Arabidopsis thaliana: one gene and its partners. The protein of the gene in region 4 interacts with the protein of the main gene of each other region in a pairwise test. Each region holds a gene or a part of one and is shown on either strand. Other genes may lie near its edges.

The links.
Region 1: the proteins of MAPR3 (region 4) and AT1G16560 interact in a protein complementation assay, tested with the Arabidopsis thaliana proteins (one large-scale study listed by BioGRID).
Region 2: the proteins of MAPR3 (region 4) and KEA6 interact in a protein complementation assay, tested with the Arabidopsis thaliana proteins (one large-scale study listed by BioGRID).
Region 3: the proteins of MAPR3 (region 4) and RLP30 interact in a protein complementation assay, tested with the Arabidopsis thaliana proteins (one large-scale study listed by BioGRID).

What each region holds. Positions count from the first base shown.
Region 1 is NC_003070.9:5,666,433-5,671,477, reverse strand, and holds AT1G16560 (Per1-like family protein), read right to left. Parts: upstream 3,095-5,045; 5' UTR 3,014-3,094; exon of another isoform or gene 2,560-3,013; 5' UTR 2,534-2,559; coding exon 2,439-2,533; intron 2,319-2,438; coding exon 2,069-2,318; coding exon of another isoform or gene 2,065-2,068; intron 1,986-2,064; coding exon 1,789-1,985; intron 1,700-1,788; coding exon 1,512-1,699; intron 1,434-1,511; coding exon 1,135-1,433; 3' UTR 770-1,134; downstream 1-769. Other genes in the region: AT1G16570 (UDP-Glycosyltransferase superfamily protein), read left to right, coding at 1-57, 176-228, 301-598, 689-715.
Region 2 is NC_003076.8:3,802,485-3,809,879, reverse strand, and holds KEA6 (K+ efflux antiporter 6), read left to right. Parts: upstream 1-1,606; 5' UTR 1,607-1,810; coding exon 1,811-2,090; intron 2,091-2,397; coding exon 2,398-2,441; intron 2,442-2,654; coding exon 2,655-2,716; intron 2,717-2,826; coding exon 2,827-2,905; intron 2,906-2,981; coding exon 2,982-3,043; intron 3,044-3,131; coding exon 3,132-3,207; intron 3,208-3,309; coding exon 3,310-3,384; intron 3,385-3,757; coding exon 3,758-3,829; intron 3,830-3,915; coding exon 3,916-3,999; intron 4,000-4,213; coding exon 4,214-4,282; intron 4,283-4,391; coding exon 4,392-4,469; intron 4,470-4,585; coding exon 4,586-4,674; intron 4,675-4,759; coding exon 4,760-4,856; intron 4,857-4,948; coding exon 4,949-5,002; intron 5,003-5,197; coding exon 5,198-5,293; intron 5,294-5,413; coding exon 5,414-5,602; intron 5,603-5,684; coding exon 5,685-5,762; intron 5,763-5,866; coding exon 5,867-5,911; intron 5,912-6,000; coding exon 6,001-6,090; intron 6,091-6,170; and 3 more. Other genes in the region: AT5G11810 (rhomboid family protein), read right to left, coding at 1-299, 397-449, 586-656, 1,003-1,141; NDL2 (N-MYC downregulated-like 2), read right to left, coding at 7,384-7,395. UniProt on the Arabidopsis thaliana protein: Electroneutral K(+)/H(+) efflux antiporter involved in K(+) homeostasis and osmotic adjustment. Together with KEA4 and KEA5, promotes growth and development, and facilitates endosomal pH and ions homeostasis, as well as salt tolerance (e.g.
Region 3 is NC_003074.8:1,529,958-1,535,070, reverse strand, and holds RLP30 (receptor like protein 30), read left to right. Parts: upstream 1-1,709; 5' UTR 1,710-1,810; coding exon 1,811-4,171; 3' UTR 4,172-4,403; downstream 4,404-5,113. Other genes in the region: AT3G05365 (uncharacterized protein), read left to right, coding at 1-85, 364-503, 601-695; AT3G05350 (Metallopeptidase M24 family protein), read left to right, coding at 1,228-1,554, 4,815-4,940, 5,043-5,113. UniProt on the Arabidopsis thaliana protein: Receptor for microbe-associated molecular patterns (MAMPs) that induces a BAK1-dependent basal immune response to necrotrophic fungi (e.g.
Region 4 is NC_003074.8:18,127,517-18,132,098, forward strand, and holds MAPR3 (membrane-associated progesterone binding protein 3), read left to right. Parts: upstream 1-1,935; 5' UTR 1,936-2,152; coding exon 2,153-2,460; intron 2,461-3,443; coding exon 3,444-3,837; 3' UTR 3,838-4,076; downstream 4,077-4,582. Other genes in the region: AT3G48880 (RNI-like superfamily protein), read left to right, coding at 357-721, 928-1,492; AT3G48900 (single-stranded DNA endonuclease family protein), read left to right, coding at 4,338-4,405, 4,495-4,582.

The DNA of each region.
Region 1 (5,045 bases), on a different chromosome or scaffold from region 4:
GCAGATCTCGGTGTCTGCTTACACACTTCCTCGTCGGGTTTAGACCTTCCCATGAAGGTAAGCACATTGTTTTTATAGCTCATATGTTAAGAAGCACATTGTTTTTAATAAGGTTAAGAAGATTTAAGACTTGATTTCCATTGTGTCAACTTGCTACCGATGTTTGGCGTTTTAGGTTGTTGATATGTTTGGATGTGGCCTCCCAGTTTGCTCGGTTTCCTACTCATGGTAAATAATCAATCACTTACATTACTTTCACGAACAAATACTATAACTTTAAAACCTTCAACTTTCGTGAAGCATTCAAGAACTCGTTAAAGATGGGAAGAACGGACTTTTGTTTTCATCTTCATCAGAATTAGCAGATCAATTATTGGTAAGTAACTCGTCTTTCTTTTTAAAAGACTATTTCACCAAGTCTACAGCAGAAGACAGCAGTAATGTTCTTGTGTTTTGTCTTTGTGAACAGATTCTCTTCAAGGGTTTTCCAGGGAACTGTGATGCACTAATGTCGCTTAAAGCGGGTGCAATGGAGACTGGTTCTTCGGGTCGATGGGCTACAGAGTGGGAAGATTGTGCAAAACCTTTAATCACTCAGGCAAAATCCGTCGGCCCTCTCTGTATCCCGCACACATACTTTTTTATTGGGCTATTTCTCATAAGATGTCTTTATGTCTGGTCTATGCAGGTCGTGTCTCAAATTGCAGATTCATGAAAGAGAAGACTCAAAATCGATGGGCTTGAGAGTTTCTCACACAACTGCTTTTGTAGATCCAAATTTTTATACAAAATCCTATAGATTACAAGATTGTCTCGAAAATATTGACAGAATCTGAATTCAAAATGGTTTCGCATGAGTCTGTGTATGAATGAGTAAATGATATCAAAATCTTTCTTAACCAAAAGTAAGGCCAAAGAAAAACACTGAAAGGCTCAAAGCAAATTCAACAGTTAATGTAACAATATAAAATAAAAAAAACTGAAGAAACCTGTGAATCCATAAACCAGCTAGCTTTAAACAAAAGACTCTGCCTTCTTCGTGATGTTTAAATCCATTTCCATCTTTTGTTTTTCCCTCGTGTCTGCATACTCGTATGGTCGGATAAAAATCCTTGTAAAACTTAGCAAAGAGACTCACTTTGCCTTCGTCTTAGTTTTCTTGAGGAGGCTGGAAGTTCTGAACTCAGCATCGTCTCTAATGAAGCTCCACCAGAGAATGGTTAAGGGAATTGTGGCAGCGTGCCAGATCGAGTGAGCATCGAAGTAGCCTTCATATGGAGGAAAATCATATATCTCTAGAAGCATGGCTAATCCTCCAGCTATCACAACCACCCAAAGTTTCCAATTAGAAGGGTGGCTTGAGACAGCGGCCCATCTTGCCCATAGGAAAAGCTGTGAGACTCCCATTGCCACACACACAATCATGTTCCAGCCTGTAAACGACATTCAACTGATGAATTCACCAAAAATATTGACTCGATTTTTAGACAACGGAAAGTTATTGAGGGTACCATAGTCGAGTTTGTAGAAGTTTATGTAGAGTATGTGGGTGGTTACAAAAGCTAGTATTGGAGCGGATACCATGACCCTTGCAGCCTCAACCCGAATATCAAATGTTCGTAAAATGGCTAAGATGAGTGAGAATCCGAGAATCGCTACTGCGGATGAGTAGTCCAACCTCTCTGTAAGGTCAACATCCCTGAGAACCACAGAGACGGATTACCAGAAAATCACATATGAATATATGATGCAGATTGTGGATAATAGAGTAATGTGTAGATGATTTACCGGCTGTGGAAAACAGCACTCCAGAACCAAGAGTTCATGGACAGGAGACCGTAGATATGCCACAAACCAACGTATTCATAGTACGCTGTCCTATCTTGTTTCAGAGGCAACTTATAGTAGATCATGATGAAAAAGGAAAGCCAACCATGGAAATGCATTGCTAGGTTGAGTACAGAGAAAGCAACAGAAGCAGGCTCCTGGCAAAGAACAAGGTAAGTCAAAACTCATATTATATGGAAACAACCAGAATAAAAAAAAGCGATTGAAGAAAAAAACTAACCTGAATCCCAAGTACACGCTTGAAGGGCCATTTACCATGGTACTTGACTGGGGCTTGACCGAGAGTTTCCCGTTCAGTCTCTCTATTAACCATACATTGATAACGGCAATCACCTTGACAACCCCATTTTTTCCATTGTAAATACAAAGGTTCTTGGATGTACCATGGACCACCATCGGATGAAGAATTGCACTGAGGAAAGCAAAGTTGTCCAACACAACCGCTTATCTCACATTCTGAAACACATGTCCTGACACAAAATTGCCAGACATTCATAATCTCCACGAATCAAAAATGTTGCTTACATATAAGCTACAACAAAACCAAGTTCACGATAGATACTCAAAGATTACCGAAATTCTAAGATTACCTGTAATCTGGATCAGCATCGCCAGCACTAGCATTTGAAATACAGAAAAGGCATGGCAACAATAGAAACAGGGCTGTCCAGTAGTGGACTGCCATCTGAGCAGAAAGTTGAAGTGAAATCACTGCGTGATAATAACAATGCAAGCCTCAAAAAACAAAGAAAGAAATCGCTTAAAGGAGCTGCAAATGGAAACTATGAATCAGAGACTATAAAAAAAAACTACAAATGTGAAGATCTTCATATGATGCTTCCGTTAAGAATCCTAAAGCAAGTGTTTATTCCAGTGAAAGAAATTCTCACATATCAATAAAAATCCTTCTATAATTCGACCTTGAAAGACTACAGAATCTCTTGGTTAAGGATCGAACTTGATTTCTGTAGAATCTAATACTATGATTTCCAGATTCGATCAGATTATCGAAAACTCAGAACTTAAATCAAATGCAGAGCTTAAACCCCCTCGAGATCTACCAATCAAGCAGGGACAACAACAACAAGATGAGAAATCGATCAGCTATAATGTAGAGAGCAAGAAAATAGAGAAAAAATCGAGCAGATCAGATAGAATCCAATACCTCCCGAGTCTGAGTCTGAGAGTCTGGTCTTCGCAACAATGTTAAAGCTTCAAAGAATATTATCGCACTCCTGTAAATAATGGAGACGACGAAAGAGAAGACCACGTGTCTTATAATTTAAACTAAACGACGTAGTTTTTGCATTATTCTTTTTCTTTCTAGTTTCTACCATTATCTGCTTTACAAAATGTCCCCCAAAAAAGAGTAACAAAACCTTCTTTCGTATTTATCTTATCTCAATAATATAATTGTTACAAGTACTCAGAAGAATGGGAATTTGCAGACATAATATAAGTAAGAGAGGTTTTAGTGCAAGGCAAAAAGAATGACCCTATGGTTTCCTTCCAATGCTTTCTTGGAGCTTTTTTGATAGTTCCTCATAGTGTCTTCTTTGCTGTTTGTTCACAGAAGGTGAGACTAAGGACAATGCTTGCTCGAAATGAGTCATCTTAATCGTACACTGACTTGTATCTGTAATATCGTCATCATCTTCACATGAAATTGTGGTGATCTCCTCCACTGCCTGGAATGTAGCTTTTTGCACCAAGTGAGCGAGATCAGCTCCGCTGAAACCTTCACAATTCATCTTTGCAATGCTATCAAGATCAACACTAGGATCTATGGGCTTCTTCCTTGCAATAGCTTTTAGAATTGAAGCACGTTCATCGGCGTTAGGGAGGGGTACATATAGAAGATTCCCAAACCTACCAGGTCTCAAGAACGCAGGATCAATTACATCTGGCCTGTTTGTAGCTCCAATTACGTATACATTACGCCTCTCTCCACCGTCTAGCTCAACAAGGAACTGGTTTAAAAGCCGTTCAACAACCCAGGCACCTTCTTTGCCACGGCTTGTTGTCAAAGCATCCACCTCATCAAAGAAGATCACACATGGCGAACATGTCCGGGCACGCTGAAACAATGTCCGAATAGCAAGCTCGCTCTCTCCAACGTACTTGTTTAGAAGCTCTGCACCCTTGATGTGCATGAAATTAGCTCCTGCCTCGTTAGCAACTGCCTTTGCAATCAATGTCTTGCCACAACCCGGTGGTCCATAGAGTAAAAATCCAACCTCTAAGTCTACCCCAAAAGCCTAAAAAGAACCAAAGTGGCACATTCAGACCTCGAGAGAAAAAGCAAGTAATCTTGACTATATAACAGTTCTAAGTGACTTATTAGTTACCTTGTAAATATCAGGCTTTTTGATAGGTCTGACTATATAGCGGTTGAATTCAAGTCGTAGATGCTCAAGTCCACCAACATCATCCCACTTGACATCAGGCACGATAGAGAATCCTTCCCTTGTTAAAGATGCCTGAACTAGATTCACTGCTTCCTAGTAGATTACAGAGCAACCAACAGAGTTAGGAACCAAGGATTAAAATCTCGTAGCTATTGAAGTACAGAAAAGTAGACTCATGCCATGCCTACAATTAACATACCTCGAAATCAGACATCTTAACAAAGAGTTTTTCCAACTCTTCTTCTGGCCAGGGATGCCTCAGCCAAGAACTATCATCTTCAGAGTCCCCAGCCAGTTGAGATTTTCTTGAATCCAAGATTCTCTTTGTGGCAATCCTGCCAGCCATGTTAGCAACACCCTCCAAATCTGCTCCAACAAAACCCGGCGTTAAACGAGCTATTCTTTTCTTGTCAAAGGGCCCTTCTAGTCTAAGTTTTTGGGCTACAACAGAAAGTATCTCAGCTCTTGCATCTTCATCTGGAACACCTAGAGCAATCTCACATTCAAATCGTCCACTTCTCCTCAAAGCAGGATCAAGAACATCAGGCCATTTGTAGCTCCAATAACGAGAACAAATCCAACACTAGACTCAGGACCATTGTTACCAGGTCCATCCATACAAGTCAATAATTGCGTTACAATCCGCTTTTCCATCTCCCTTTGCTGATTTTCCCTCTTTGATCCAATCGCATCAATCTCATCGATAAACACAATGGAAGGTGCAGTCCTATACGCTTTAGAGAAAAGCTCTCTAAGATTCTCTTCAGAAGCACCAGAGACACCAGAAAC
Region 2 (7,395 bases), on a different chromosome or scaffold from region 4:
CTGGTTGAGCCATTCCCATAATACTGCCAATCAAAGAGTCGAGAATTCCCATGTTGTTCCCGTTATTATATTCATCAACCCCGAAATGAACAAAAACCAAGTCATATAGGTTCACATCCAAGCACTTTCCTCCTTCAAATCCAAGCAGCTTTAGTAGTTTAGATGATGTGGCATCAGAAGGAAAGGAATCACTCTCTTGGCATATTTCACTAAGCTGTAATACATCTAAGCCAATCAGTTTTCCGAAAGAAGTCAGAGTAGAACTGTCCGTAACTAAAGCAGCTTTGAGTCCCATAAACCTGGCATTAAAGTAAATACTAGCATCAACATATGGATATACCAGCTATTGATTATCAAAGAGAGTATAAAACTATAGAGATAAGTGAAAAGTATAACCTTTCAGCCAAAGTTGAGATATCATTTCCATTTCCCTTTGGTTTTAGTCCACTCTATTAAGAAATCAGATCATGGTTCGTTAATCTCTAATTCGTGAATAACTATGTAAACACACTGAGATTGTTAAATATTTTGCCACAAAACTCGGCTCACATAGAAATTAATATAGTAGAGAGTAAAGTATCTCACAGCTATGGAATAAGCTTCGGATGCATCCAGCAAGTGGGAGAATTCTCGAACTATTCTTTCATTCTCAGTTTCTGCAATATTGAAACAGCAGAGTGAGTTAGATCAATAGCAAAATGTCAAAGCAAGGGCAATGTAACACAAGTGATCTCAAATCTTTGTTTCTTAAGCAATTGGGTCAATTGACACTGAACAAGAACTCTAAGTTGGCCAGTTAGATCAATTGTATACTGGAGTTTCATATTGGACTATTAAAAAAGTCACAATCGAATCCAAACGATATGGTTCAATTCTGATCAACACTAAGAAATCCTAACAAGTGAAAACCCTTAAAGTAGCGATTTTGACTGAAATTCAAGACGAATCAAACGAAAGTAACCAAATTTATGAAGAGATAGCGAGGGAGAGAGAAAGAGAGACCTGGAGGTGCATTAGGAAGGCTCAAGAAGCCACAAGTAGCGACGGAAGCAAGAGAATGGATGTTGGTATTTGACGGATCGACAAATCGAGCCAAGCCGTCTCCGTACAATATCAGTGATCTGCTTGATTTGTCCGCCATTGTTGTCAAAAGACGAATTGTCCGAGAAGAAAAAAACAGAAGCGAATATATATATTTTTTTGTCGTGAGGGGAATATATATATATATATATATAATATAATTTTTCTTTTTTTTTGTTTTTAATTTTTTAATTGACAGCGATTTTTTGGATAATTTTTGGGGACCATGAACTAAAAAAACACGTTTACAAATTTCACAGAATTATAAATACAGTGAAATCTATTTTTATTGGATTTAAATGATTACATGAAAAAGAGTCGCATTGAGTAATAATAAGTATGGCGTAGACATTGAGCTAAAGTTTTATAGAAATGGAAGATGTTTTGTCCTAATCGAAAATCAAATAACCAAGAAAGACCCATTCCATTCATTAATCTACCACATGGACATGGTGCAGTTGCTGTATATTACAAAGAAACAACACAACATTAAAAAGAAAAAAATCCGATAATTAATTTTAATACAGATATGTCGTAAATTGTACAGTATAGTCTTGTTATATGTAGAGAGCCTATGTATGGACTGTTTGTTGACCATTGCAACAATCTCACTTTCCCTCTCTCCCCACTTGCCCACTCCTCGTCCTCGATCGAGAGACTCGCGACGGTTCCGGTTCTTCTGCTAGACCGTTGCTCCAGTCCGGTTTAATCCAGAACCAGTTGTTCTGCCATGGTGGAAGGAAGAAGAAGAAGAAGATTCTCGCTCTCCTCTCAACAGCTAGCTCTCCTCTTACTTTTACTCTCCTTCTTCCTCTGCTTCTCCGTCGCGTCTCCTCGAGCTATATCTGATTCGGATCTACTGGATGAAACAGTCGCCAACTCCTCCTCTTCCGTCGCATCTCTCAACGCTTCTTCTTCTTCTTCTCTTGTTAAGCCTAAGGAAGGTAGCTTCGCCGACATCATCGATCGTGCTCTTGAAAAAGAGTTCAATGAAAGCGACCAGAATGAAGGTTAGTGTTTTTTGCTACTTTATGGAGCTTGAAATGGCCATTGAACAACTAGAATTCATTAGGTAGATCCTGAATTGGATCCGTGATCCAATTGAAAGTTCGGAACTTTAGATTGATCCCACATTCGTCTTTCCTTTTTGGGGATCTCCCAATGTGGAATAGTTTGCTTCTTCTAGATCGAGAATATTTACACAAACAAGATACATTTTTGTGATTGGTTTTCCTGAAATGGATAGTGAGTGTTTATCTTGTATTCTTACACTTTTACTCGATATATTATCTCCCAATGTTGTTATATTTGTGGCAGTGGCTGATCCTGGAAGCTTCAATAACAGTGTAGCTGGACAACAGGTTTGTTTTAACTTTTAATCATTAGTATATACTTGCTTCTGTTTATTATTCAAAGTTGGACAATTTCTAGGAAATTCAAGCAGTGTCAAAATCACTCCCAAGTCTTTTGTTTGAAAGTATAAGGCTTGCTTTAAGATTTGATCATTTCTCTCATTAATTGCATAGTTTGAGTATCTGAATGTGAGGTTGGTTGTTGTACCTTGTGGTGATCAGGCTGTTCTGGAAACTGTAGCCCGAGTAAAGTCGACCAAGAAAAATGAGACAAAAGAGGAGAAGTACACCATTCTATTATAGTTATCGTTTATATTTCTAAATCTTCCTTTGTATGACCTTCTTTGATGTTCTGGAATTGAAGACGTATTAAGCGTTATCTAATTTTCCATAGGCGTTTTCAACTCCATGATGTTTTCAACTTGAACAATGATAACAGAGCTGAGGACACTCCAACTCTCATTGATCGAAAAGTAAGTTTTTACACAGGAAGACTGAGTTTGGATTTGTTGCATTACTTCTTACATGGAAGTTTTGGCCTTGTGTCAGGACAATGTCTTCATCATATCCAATTCCAAATCAAAGTATCCAGTATTGCAGCTAGACTTGAGGCAAGATTCTTGGTCTTAAACATGATTCTTGAAAAAAAGACTATAATTTTCAATCAGTCATCTGATTTCTGCTTCTTATGGCATGTAGACTGATATCAGACCTGGTGGTTGTCATTGTATCTGCAACTTGTGGTGGTATCGCCTTTGCTTGTGCTGGACAGCCGGTCTGATTTTCGTGCTACTCTTATTCTCTATCAATATGACTTTATGTTTCAGTATGATGCATTTGTTTTCTGATAGCTATGACTCATTCTGTGCTTATGTAGGTGATAACTGGATATTTGCTAGCAGGATCTATCATTGGGCCTGGAGGATTGAACTTCATCAGTGAGATGGTCCAGGTATGCTATGTGTTTGACCTCAAAAGATTTAAGTCTTTCGTCCACTCCCAATACCTTTAGTTGAGAAATTCCTTTAAGGTCTCGAATACTTATTTAGATCAGCAGGTTAGGAACTATTTTCTTCTGAGGATCGTTGACTAAGATATTACACATAGCAAGACATGAGTCTTTGACTAGAAACTCTTTTCTTCTGTGGGTCAAAACAAATTGAGTTTTTATCATGCATAAGAGAGACCTTAGTTCGTCTTCGAATAGGAAATCTAGAGCTTAGACTGCCACGGAGATGAGAATGTATAATGCTCATGTGGTTTTACATATATGTCATCTTACACGTTGCTTTTGCGCTTTAATTTTGACATGATTCTACATTTAGGTTGAAACAGTTGCCCAGTTTGGTGTGGTATTTCTGCTCTTTGCTTTGGGTCTAGAGTTCTCCACTGCTAAGGTGAGATCAACCGCTTTGATTTGTATAGTGTTGAATTAAATTGTTAACATAACAAACTCTTGAGCTCCTTTCCTCTTACTATGTAGCTTAAAGTTGTTCGATCAGTTGCTGTTCTGGGAGGCCTTCTTCAAATTCTTCTATTCATGTTCTTGTGCGGTATCACAGTGTCGGTGCGTCACTTTTTTTTATCAGTGGTTCTGGAAAAAAAGTTATGCTTTCTGTTTGAATCGTAGAAAAATGAGTCCTGCTGTCTCTTTTATTCTTTGAGAGACATTTGGTTTATGTAGCTTAAAGTGTTGTGTATTTGAAAGTTAGAAATACAGACCCTAAAATCTTCTGCAGATATACTCTCTGTGACATGTTTTCAACTGGTCCTGTTTGCAGTTATGCGGTGGTAAACGTTCGGAGGGGGTATTTGTAGGAGCCTTTTTGTCAATGTCATCAACTGCGGTGGTAATTTCAGTGAACTCTATAATGCTTATCTAACCATTTCCATTAGCGGGCTTTCTTTTTAATATTGTTGGTTTTATGTTCATCATGCGTTCCTGCCTTGAATCTATAGGTGCTGAAGTTTCTCATGGAAAAGAATTCAACTAATTCTCTTCATGGCCAAGTTACGATTGGAATCCTAATTCTTCAGGTATCTGATTGTTCTCATCTACATGTAATGTCCATTGTCTTTGTAGATCATATAGTGTTTATTCTTGAATTCCTTTTCAAATGATTTGGAGGATTGATTTTAGCATCTGTTTGTAGGACTGTGCTGTGGGTTTGCTGTTTGCTTTGCTTCCAGTTCTCGAGGGAAATTCTGGCATTGTTCATGGAATGTTGTCAATAGGAAAAGTGTATGGAAAGACTGGTAGACTTTTTGCTCCTAAGGCGTATTCTGAAGATTTGATGTTAATCATGCTTTTACTGTCTTTTATTTAGGGTGGTTTTGTTGCTTTCGTTTTTGGCTGTTTTGTCAATATTATCACGGACATGTATTCCTTGGTTGCTGAAGCTAATGGTCAGCTTATCGTCACAGGTACATGAGTTTCCTCTCAATATTATTTTCCCTATCATCTGATCTAATGAAATCGAGTTTGTAGATTAACCTAAAAAATTTCTTCATATCAGACAAATGAACTCTATCAGTTAGCGGCTGTTGCGTTTTGTCTACTTGTAGCCTGGGTGAGTCCTACTTAGCCATCATCTTCCTCATATTCTTCCTTGTAGTATCCATCATATGTAATGCGTTCATGAAGATTCTCATATGTGCGTTCCTTCTCTTATTTGGTCCTGGTGTGTATTTGGGAACTCTAGTGATAAGGTGGGATTAAGTTTTTTGGTCAACATGTTTGTTTGACTAGTCTTTTATGCTTTCAGTGTAGTGATAAGCTGGGATTAAGTCTTGAATTGGGTTCTTTTGCTGCGGGGGTCATGATATCCACTACTGATCTCGCTGAACATACATTGGAGCAAGTACGTTTTGACCACATTTTATCAAAAAGGCTTTACTGTTTCTCCCGTTATGTTAATTGATCTTAAACCCTTAAAAGAGTCCATAGTCTGACAGAGATGCTTTCATATTTTTTTGTGCAGATCGAACCCATCCGTAATTTATTTGCTGCTCTTTTCCTAGCCAGCATTGGGATGTTAGTTAATGTCCATTTTCTGTGGACACATGTGGATATACTGTTAGCCTCTGTGATATTAGTTATTATTATAAAGACAACAATAGTTACAACCGTTGTTAAGGGATTTGGATACAACAATAAGACGGCTCTTCTGGTAACATATTCTGACTCAAATTACTTATATGATCTATCATGTTTGCTTTCTTGCTTCACCATCCTTAGTCAAATTGATGCAGGTTGGAATATCTCTGGCTCAGATAGGGGAGTTTGCCTTTGTACTACTTAGCCGTGCCTCCAATCTTCACCTCATCGAAGTAAGTAACACAACTTGGTCCTCAATGGACCATACACATAAGTAGGATTTAAGAATATATAAGGTATTTTGAAGAAAGAAGCTTAAAGTTATGAAAATTGTCAGGGGAAACTCTATCTGCTTCTCCTTGGGACAACCGCTCTAAGCCTGGTATGATCAGATAACTTTCTGTTACCTCCTCTTTATATGTTCTGTGTTCAAGTTCAAGTAAGTAGCTGAGGTGGTTTTGGTTTGGGCAGGTTACGACACCGCTGGTTTTCAAAATGATACCAGCAGTTGTACATCTTGGGATATTGTTGAAATGGTTTTCTCCAGACAGTACTATAGAGGTAAGTTGGTTTGATTTTTGGTTGATTCTTTCTTCGTTTATAGAACATAACTAAATAAAGAAATCTTTTGTTTTGGTCAGAAAGGAGAAATTGTAAGATCAGAAAGTGGGAAACAACGGATGATTCTAATGTCACGTCAATCCCACAGCTCCTAAAACCACAAAATGTTCTTCTCAACTAAAGTTTGGTACACTCAATCAATTTTGACAAAAGAAAAATGTGGAAAAGAAGAGAAAAAGATTTTAACACTAACATTGTTTGTTTCCTGGGAGTAACTAACCCACAAGTCCACAACCCATTTGTTTCCCTTGTAATTAGCATTGTTTCTTTTTACTATTTTTTTCATGTAATGTATCACAAAACAAGTTTGATTTTTTCTCCTGTAATCATATACTCGGCCTATACAACTTTGTGCAACCAAAAATATGTGGAATCAGATCTTCTCTGTTTAATTTTTGAAGGCACATGTTTTAGCAGTTTGCATCCGAATTTCCAATTTTCAGCAACTTTTTTTCTCACAACAGTTGCAGTTGAAGAGGCCATAACATATATTTGATTGAATGAGAGATGAAATAAAATAGTAAGGGGATGATTTTTATTCAACTGAATGTACAGAACAAGAAGAGCTACCACAAAATAAACCTTTAAGACAAGTTTAATGAATCAAAATATAATATATCTGTAAAGGGAGAAAACCTAAAAAACCATCATTTACTTTTAATTTTCCCGTTTAATACCTCTACTATTTAATTTGGAAGAAAAACACCTTAGTTAATTTTGGTTACTTATTAAAACTTTCGTTTTTTAAAAAGTTGGTATAATCTTACCTTCGAGTTAACTTCCGTTAACTACCCTAACGGAATTGTTAACTGTGGTTAAAACTTAACTCATGTTAATTATGTAAATAAGTACAATCGCTTTTCTTGATTATACGAATATGTTTCCGTTAGGGTAGTTGACGGAAGTTAACTCGGAGGTACGATTATACCAACTTTTTGATAGGTAACCAAAATTAATTAAGGTATTTTTCTTCCAAATTAAATACTAGAGGTATTAAACGTCCAAATTAAAAATAAATGGCGGTTTTTCACTCTACCATATATCAATCCCTTCCCCATCCCCTTTTTTTACTCTTCTTCATCTCCCTCTCTTTCTATATATAGATGATCAATATATCTCTGTCTATATCTACAGCTCAAATCATAACAGAGGAACAGCTCCAATCCAACAATGGTGATTTTGATGTGGTGACACATGTCGTATATGTAAATGTGTGTAGCAGAGGAGGCAGGGCTATAGAGCGAG
Region 3 (5,113 bases), about 17 Mb from region 4:
CCGATGCTTCCTTTGATTCCAACCTCCAAAAGCCCATCTGCTCAAATCTTCATTTCGAGGATGAGGACTCGAGGAGTATTACAAGGTACCTCAATAGAATCAATGGCTTCCATGGATTTTGAAACTTTACTTCTAATAAACACCATTGTAATGTCTTGTTGTGAAGTTGTGTAAGGAACAAAGGATAGTGAAAGCTGAAGAGTGGGATTCGTTTATGGAGTTTCAGAGTTTTTTTTGACTAAGTGGCCTCTGTTTTTGATTCTTCAGTGGTCAATTTTGTGATGGGATTTGATTGAAATTGGAGAATGATTTCATGAAATCTCTTCGGGCTGAGGTTGATTCATGACTCTTTCATTTTTCTAGTGTCTCATTGATGATAGACATAAGAAGCATACTTAAGGCCATAGAGAGTGGTGAATTGGAGGCAATCAAGCCTTTGCCTTGGTACCCTAAGAATCTTTCTTTTCACGGAAGGAGATTAGAAAAAACCAGATACTTGAGAGGTACATTTTCATGCCAGTTGCTTCAGAACAAGTATTCACTTCCATTCCCTTACTTGTGTTAGTTCAGCGCTTGAGAAATATTATGATCTTGTTTCAGACTTTCAGCTGTCAAGAGACAAGGCCCGTTTTACTATCAGGTTAAAATCATGGTCAGCTTCTTGTCCCAAACCACATTGTTGCAAGGTTTTGTAATAAATCTTGGCTCGATAATGCATTCAGAAACTTCTTCTACTCATATCTCAAAATATGTTTTGAATTCTAAACCCCATGGTTATCAATATAAAGAATATTAGTATCTATTTTTCTCTTTTCTGGTGTGGTTGCAATTTATCGTTTGTCTCTTTCGTGGAAACCCTTAATTCAGGCGGTATTAAGTCTTTCTCATAAAACTTTCTAAGTCAAACCAAAATTCCAATCGAAATTCTCAGCATGAAAGTCTCGAACACGTTTACATTTCTTACGCACCCAAAGACTCTTGCTTCTTGCACACGTCTCTCTTGGCTGTCCTTTACCATAACGAATTTGATGAGATTGTTTCAAAATAAAATGTTTCTTTTTGACAAGTCTGGGATTTTAATGTAATTATCAATAGTCATGCACATTATACAACATTTAAAAGAATACGGGGGTTGTTTTGCAATTTTCAGTAGTTATACACATTTATCCGTAATCACTCTGCTCAAGAAGCTTCTCCTCTTGTGTGATTCTCCTGCAATCGCTGGTGATGATTCCTCTAACTCTTTCGTCGCCGTCTCTGAATCGGCTCGTTTTATCCACATCACGTTACTCACACTCTCTATTTCTCAGCAATTTCAATTCGCTCTCTCTGATCCACCGGAAATTACCGTATAAACCTCTTTTTGGCGCAAGGTGTCATGCTAGTAGCAGCAGCAGCAGCTCTTCCTCCTTCACGGCAAAGTCTTCCAAAGAGATTCGTAAAGCTCAAACCAAAGTAGTTGTCGACGAGAAGCTTAGCTCGATCCGGCGACTGTTTTCGGAGCCGGGTGTTGGAATCGACGCTTATATCATACCTTCACAAGATGCACATCAGGTTCTCTTTTTTTAAACCTCTTCTTAACTCGTGATTACGAATTGAATAGGAAGTTCTAGTAGATTCAAAACTGTTCAATTGTGTGTGTTTTTAAGTCAATTATTGGTCCAAGTGGGCAAGTTTGACTATAGAAAGGAGTAGGTAGAAGTCTACTAGAGAGCTGCAAATTTGTGTTTTGTTTTCTATTTTTCTCTCTCTCTAAATAGAGACGTAGAAGCCATAGCTATCATAACCTGTTACTTACAAAACAAACAAAATGATTCCAAGCCAATCTAATTCCTTTTCTGGTAGTGTTATTACCTTGTATTTCTTCCTCCTGGGTTCCCTTGTTCTACGCACTCTTGCTTCTTCTAGGCTTCACTATTGCCGCCATGACCAAAGGGATGCTCTTCTCGAGTTCAAACACGAGTTTCCGGTAAGTGAATCGAAGCCAAGTCCATCGTTGAGTTCATGGAACAAGACTAGTGATTGCTGTTTTTGGGAGGGTGTCACGTGCGATGATGAATCTGGCGAGGTGGTTTCACTTGACCTTAGTTATGTCCTTCTCAACAACTCTTTGAAACCAACTAGTGGTCTTTTCAAACTCCAACAACTCCAGAACCTGACTCTCAGTGATTGCCATCTCTATGGAGAGGTTACTTCTTCACTAGGAAACCTTTCTCGTCTCACGCATCTTGACCTTTCGAGTAATCAGCTGACAGGTGAAGTTCTGGCTTCGGTCAGTAAGCTAAACCAACTTAGAGACCTTTTACTTTCCGAAAACAGTTTTAGTGGTAACATTCCTACTTCATTTACCAATTTAACGAAGCTTTCTAGTTTAGACATCTCTAGCAATCAGTTCACATTGGAAAATTTCTCTTTCATACTACCAAATTTAACCAGCTTGTCCTCCTTAAACGTTGCCTCTAATCACTTTAAATCCACGCTTCCATCTGATATGAGTGGACTCCACAACTTGAAATATTTTGATGTGCGTGAGAATTCATTTGTCGGGACTTTTCCTACATCCTTATTCACGATTCCTTCGTTACAAATTGTTTATTTGGAAGGAAACCAGTTCATGGGACCTATAAAGTTTGGGAATATATCTTCATCTTCTAGGCTTTGGGATCTAAACCTTGCTGATAACAAATTCGATGGGCCAATCCCTGAATATATATCTGAAATTCACAGTCTCATAGTACTAGATCTTAGCCACAACAACTTAGTTGGGCCAATCCCCACTTCTATATCAAAGTTGGTCAACCTTCAGCATCTTAGTCTTTCAAACAATACCTTGGAAGGCGAAGTGCCAGGTTGCTTATGGGGATTGATGACAGTGACACTTTCCCACAATTCTTTCAACAGTTTTGGAAAGTCATCATCCGGAGCTTTGGATGGAGAATCAATGCAGGAGTTGGATCTTGGTTCGAATTCACTTGGAGGACCTTTTCCCCATTGGATCTGCAAGCAAAGGTTCTTAAAGTACTTAGACTTGTCCAACAATCTCTTCAACGGCTCAATTCCTCCTTGTTTGAAAAATTCCACTTATTGGCTTAAAGGGCTAGTTCTGCGTAACAACAGCTTCAGCGGATTTCTCCCAGACGTATTTGTCAATGCTAGCATGTTATTATCACTTGACGTTAGCTACAACCGGTTGGAGGGAAAACTTCCAAAATCCCTGATCAATTGCACTGGTATGGAACTTCTGAATGTGGGAAGCAACATAATCAAGGACACTTTTCCATCCTGGTTGGTTTCTTTGCCATCATTACGTGTCCTCATCCTCAGATCTAATGCATTCTATGGGTCGTTATATTATGACCACATATCTTTTGGGTTTCAACATTTGAGACTCATTGATATATCACAGAATGGCTTCAGTGGAACTTTGTCACCTTTATATTTCTCCAATTGGCGTGAGATGGTGACATCTGTCTTAGAAGAAAACGGCTCTAATATAGGTACAGAGGATTGGTACATGGGCGAGAAAGGGCCCGAGTTCAGCCATAGTAATTCGATGACTATGATATATAAAGGAGTAGAAACGGACTTCTTGCGGATCCCATATTTCTTCAGAGCCATTGACTTTTCTGGAAACAGATTTTTTGGGAATATACCTGAATCCGTTGGTTTGTTGAAGGAATTGCGTCTTCTCAATTTGTCAGGTAACTCATTCACAAGCAATATCCCTCAGTCATTGGCAAATTTGACAAATCTTGAGACATTGGACCTATCCCGGAATCAGCTATCAGGTCACATCCCTCGAGATCTTGGTAGCCTCTCTTTTCTGTCGACCATGAATTTCTCCCATAACCTTCTCGAAGGTCCAGTTCCACTAGGCACTCAGTTTCAAAGCCAACATTGTTCTACATTCATGGACAACCTCAGACTCTACGGTCTTGAGAAAATCTGTGGAAAAGCTCATGCCCCGAGTTCTACACCACTAGAATCCGAGGAATTTTCGGAACCAGAAGAACAAGTGATTAACTGGATAGCAGCGGCAATAGCCTACGGACCTGGTGTGTTTTGTGGATTAGTTATTGGACATATCTTCTTTACTGCACACAAACACGAGTGGTTCATGGAAAAATTCCATCGAAACAAGCGCAGAGTAGTCACCACAAGTGCTCGTTGAACACCATCACCTCTCACAATTTCTCTGAGTGATTGTGAAACGTATATGTTTGTTATGATATCTGTCAGTTGTGTTATGCATAAACTCTTTGTCTTTGTAATTTTCTACTTTATGGTATTGTAAGAAACGGCTTTGGTGGTATCTGATCTTCTATATGTTGGGTTGAAAATGCATTCAGATTTTTCTTCCTAGTCAAATCTCAACTTGTCATAAGAGGATGTTTCAATTGTAGAGCCAAATGGAAGTTCTTCTTCTTCTAAATCACAGTATGAAATTCTCCAACTCGTGTTTTATTTCATTCTCCCCAAAGTTTCTTGCTCCGCTCACACGTCAATCTTGCTGTCCCTGAGTATACCAAATTCGATTTGGAGATTCAAGATAAAAAATAAATATGATTTGGACCAGTGCGGGGGTTGTTATGCATCTATGCAATTGTTTTTGCCATTTTGATATGGGTAATGTGTTGTTTCGGTGAATTTTACATACTAGGAGCTTAAGATCTACTTTCATAACTGATGTTGCCTGTAATATATTTCTGTGCCATTAGGAAAGTCACAAATTTATGTTTTACTTCTAAATGTATCCATAAACTGCCTGAGTTTTTCATGGCTTGAGTGTGATTTTTCTCCATATTTTGTACTAGAGCGAGTTCATCGCAGAGTGCTATGCCAGGAGGGCTTATATATCAGGATTTACTGGAAGTGCTGGTACCGCTGTTGTCACCAAGGATAAGGCAGCTCTATGGACAGATGGCCGCTATTTTCTTCAGGTTTTGATCATTATCGTCCTTTAAAATTATTTGATTGCCATCTCATATTGAAAGGAAATGTGGAGTTTCTTATCTACATTCTCTGCAATTATTCTATCAAAGGCGGAGAAGCAATTAAACTCTAGTTGGATTCTCATGCGGGCTGGTAATCCGGGAGTCCCCACGGCGAGTGA
Region 4 (4,582 bases):
TTTGGTGTTTGTATTGGTTTACCTGAGGGAAGAAAAGTCTTTCTCTTTGGGACTTTAAACTTTGATTACTTAACTCCAACATTATCATAGTTGGGTTCTGTAGTTCATTTCACTTATAGCAGTAATAACTCATTGATTGATGCAATCAATCAATCCTGTGATGGAAATGGAATCATGGAAATTGAGGGATTCAGGGAGGATTGATTGATTAGAATTTCATATTTATGAGAGAATAAGAGAACTGATGTGTGTTTCTTTTCCTACTTCTTAAAGTTGTGCTCTTTCCTATTTCTATAAGCTCTTGTGGATAACAACAGTTGATTAACGTTCTTATGCTTGTTTAGGGTACAACAAGAATGGAAGAAGAGTATGAGAGTCGTCGATTGAGGAGATGGGAAGAGTTGGACACTGACATCTTAGTAAGAATTTTCCAGAAGTTTAGCGTCTTTGAGTTGACTTCGGGATTAGCTCATGTTTGTAGAGGATGGAGAGCTGCTTGTTGCGATCCGATTCTTTGGAAGACGGTGGATTTGTCAAACATGAGATCTAGTTTCATCAAGATCCCATTAGAGCCTTATGTCTATGTGGAACGCCGATCTGATGAGGCCCTAACCCGCATCCTGAAACTCTCCATGAACCTTAGCGGAGGAAGCACGAGGACCTTGATTTTTCATTTCAACTTGTTCTTGAGTGATGATCAGCTTACTTACACCGCAGAAAGGTATGTCCTTTTCGTTCTTCCACTTATTTGTCTTCCAAATTGTTTCATCATGGCCGTAAACTATGGTTTTTTAGTCAAAAGTTGGTTCAGTTTTTGGTTTGGTTAAGTTCATGTACCCACTTTCAGTCAAAATTGCTGAATTACAATTAAGCTGAATCTCGCAAATGCTAAAAGTTGAAAAATTTGTTGTACTGAATATTTTGCAGGTGTCCAGGGTTGAGACGGGTCGTCCTACCGGCTTGGAACAGAATAAAGAAGACTGGTATATGCAAAGCGATAAGAATCTGGAAAGATCTAGAGTCACTAACAATGCCAAGCATCGCAAACCCGCCTTATCTCTTAACAGAAATTGCCAAGAACTGCAAGAATTTTAAAGAGCTGAAGATCATGGGTCCATTCGAGGTCTTCTTTGCAAACACGCTCATCACTTGCCTCCCAAACATCAAAACACTCAGCATCAGATGCTCGGCGATAAAGCGGGAAGCACTGATGAAAATCCTTGACGGATTACCAAGCCTTGAAGTGCTCAACATATCACACTCTCACCTAGTGGAGTACAGCGGTTGGCAGCCTCAGCAGAAGGTGATTGTTAGAGAGCTCGATAAGACGATAATGGAGAAAACAGCAAGGCTAAAGAAATTCTTGACTTGCATGGATCACAAGACGTGTGTGATGTGTCAGAGGACTGAAAACGATGAAGGGATTGTGAGATGGTACAAGTATGAGGAAGGAGACTGGAAGGTTGATGAAGTGAGTTCTCTTCATCTTTGATGTTTCTGCTGTGATCATTCTCTGTGAAGGACTTAACTTGTTATTGTTCTCATCTTTGACTGTTGAATTGTTTATTTCTTTGTGTTGTTTGTTTTGATTTGAATCGTATTATGTGTATATATCTGTAGGCTATGCCAATGAATGTCTGTAGTGATCAACTTTTGATCACCACCAACCTTGCACACCAAATAGGAAAATAAAACAATATTGTTACAATTATTTGTCTTGATATTAGCATTATTAGTCACATTTGTTTTGCAAATCATCTACCTTTTTTTTTTGGTCTATATCTTATTCTTCTTAGTTCTTACCTACCAGTCTTCTCCGGCGGCATTAACGACACCGTTTTATCGAGCTCAGCCACCACTAGTTAGGTAACGATATATATTCTTAAAAACGTTTAGAAAATTTCTATGTATGTTTCACACGAACAAAAAGAAAATATTTTTCAGACATCAACGGTCATTATGGACGACGACTGTTAAACAAAATCGTTTAAAATTCTTGTTGCGTAATTTGACCATTTTATTTTATTTTATACCAAAAATTGAAGATATTATATATATGTTTTAATTCGATCGCAAATAAATCTGAAAATTAAAACACAAAACGTTACTCTTCTCTCTCATTCTCTTTCGCTTCTCGATAGCTTCTCAAATCATGGTTCAGCAAATATGGGAGACGTTGAAGGAAACAATCACAGCTTACACTGGACTTTCTCCAGCTGCGTTTTTCACCGTACTTGCTCTCGCTTTCGCCGTTTACCAAGTCGTCTCCGGTTTCTTCGTTTCTCCTGAAGTTCACCGACCTCGTTCTTTGGAGGTTCAGCCTCAATCGGAGCCTCTTCCACCGCCGGTTCAGCTCGGAGAAATCACTGAGGAGGAGCTTAAGCTTTATGATGGCTCCGATTCTAAAAAGCCCCTTCTTATGGCGATCAAGGGCCAGATCTATGATGTTTCTCAGAGCAGGTATTTCTTGTGAAATCTTTACTTGTTCATTAAATTATGATTGAATCCAAATGATCACTAGTTAAATTACCAGTAATAAACGATTCAACCCAATAGTTTCGAGATTTGGGGTTTAGGTTAGTTAATCATGGTTGACTGTTTGATTTATAATCCGAAGTTTCCAATTACTATCTATCTTATGATTCTAGTATATCTACTGATGCTCGAACTCTAGTTTAAGTGATTCTTTATTGTAAAACTGAACACTTTTAGTAAATCTTTTTGATGAATATTCTCTCCTTTTTGTTCATAATCTTATGATGCTCTTTTTATTGCTTTTTGCATCTTAGTGTTTGTTTTTTCACTTCTTTTCTTGGAACAATACCATTAGAAGCACTGATACAATTGTATTGTATTCAAGTTATCGGAAAGATCTCTACTTTTTCTTATACTAGAAAAACCTGTATTTAGATTACATCTTGGATTAGTAGAGATTGATAACGTACAAACTCGTCAAAGGTTTGGCTTCTAATATTGCTATTGTGGCGAAAGAGATCGTTCACTGATTAATTATCCACATTTGCTTGCTATTTGTGTTCCATGACGTTTGTAAATTAAGTTTTGGCGAACATTGTTGGTATGTAACCATGCTGCAGTTGTCTAGATCCCTGACTTGTCAACTAGACAGTTCTTTTACATTCCAGTTACCGAAAACTTCGTTGTGGTAATTAGGTTTTGTGCTAGATGAAATAATCACTTCAGTGATCATACCGTTTTGCTTGTTCATAGTGGCGACAGACACAGACACACTCATCAACGCATATACATGTCGATGTATATGTATGCATAACTTTTAGTTTTTTTCTTGTACATAGTTCATCAGCTGTACTACATATCTAGATGAATCATATTCATATGTGCCAAGCTGTAGTTTTTCATTCTTCAAACTCTACTTAACTCTTACTGGTCGCTAATTTGCATGACCATCTGTTCTTTTTATGCAGGATGTTTTATGGACCAGGTGGGCCATATGCTCTGTTTGCAGGGAAAGATGCAAGCCGAGCTCTGGCAAAGATGTCATTTGAGGACCAAGACTTGACTGGAGACATCTCAGGTCTCGGTGCATTTGAGCTAGAGGCGTTACAAGACTGGGAGTACAAGTTCATGAGCAAGTATGTCAAAGTCGGAACCATTCAAAAGAAGGATGGAGAAGGCAAAGAAAGTTCAGAACCTTCCGAAGCAAAGACTGCCTCTGCGGAAGGTCTTTCTACAAACACTGGAGAAGAAGCTTCAGCAATTACCCATGATGAAACTTCTAGAAGCACAGGCGAGAAAATCGCGGAAACCACGGAGAAGAAAGATGTTGCAACTGATGATGATGATGCTGCAAAGGAGTAAAGTCAATGTAATGAGAGGCACAGTTTCTCTTGAGAAATTAGTGAGATTTTTCAGGGTTTAAGTATGAGTCGTATATAGCTCAATAAAAATGGTGACCTTGTGTGTACTTTTTGGATCTTGTATAATGACATCTAATTCTGGTTATGGAAGCTTCAAAATACATTATTTCTACAGTATTAATCGATAAACAGTTCTATAATTCAGGGTTTGTTCACTTGTTGTTTATGCTTAGTTCATATTTGACATCCTGCTATGTGCCTGGTAATTGAAGATGGTTCAATTCCTAAAATCGAAGCACCAACTTACATTTGATGGTAGGTCTGTTGCCGAACCGAAGTGAAGAATTTGCAATAATTTTGGTTTCGGTTTGGAACCTTCAAACCGACCGGTTTCGAATTATTATTGAACCAAATTTTCAAAATTCAAATATCTTGTCAAATCATTTTCTTCCCTCTTTCTGTCTCTGTCTCTCTCTCTCGCTCGATCTCGAAGGTGAAGCTATGGGAGTGAAGTATCTTTGGGATGTCTTGGAGCCTTGTAAGAAGACTTTCCCACTCGATCATCTTCAGTGAGTTGTTTCTTCGTCTCAATTTCTCTTTAATTTTTCTGGGTGTTTAAAAAGACCAAGTCTTTACGAGATCTTCGTAATCGCTGTAGAAACAAAAGGGTATGCGTGGATCTTTCGTGTTGGATGGTGGAATTGCATAAAGTGAACAAATCTTATTGCGCCACTAAAGAAAAAGTT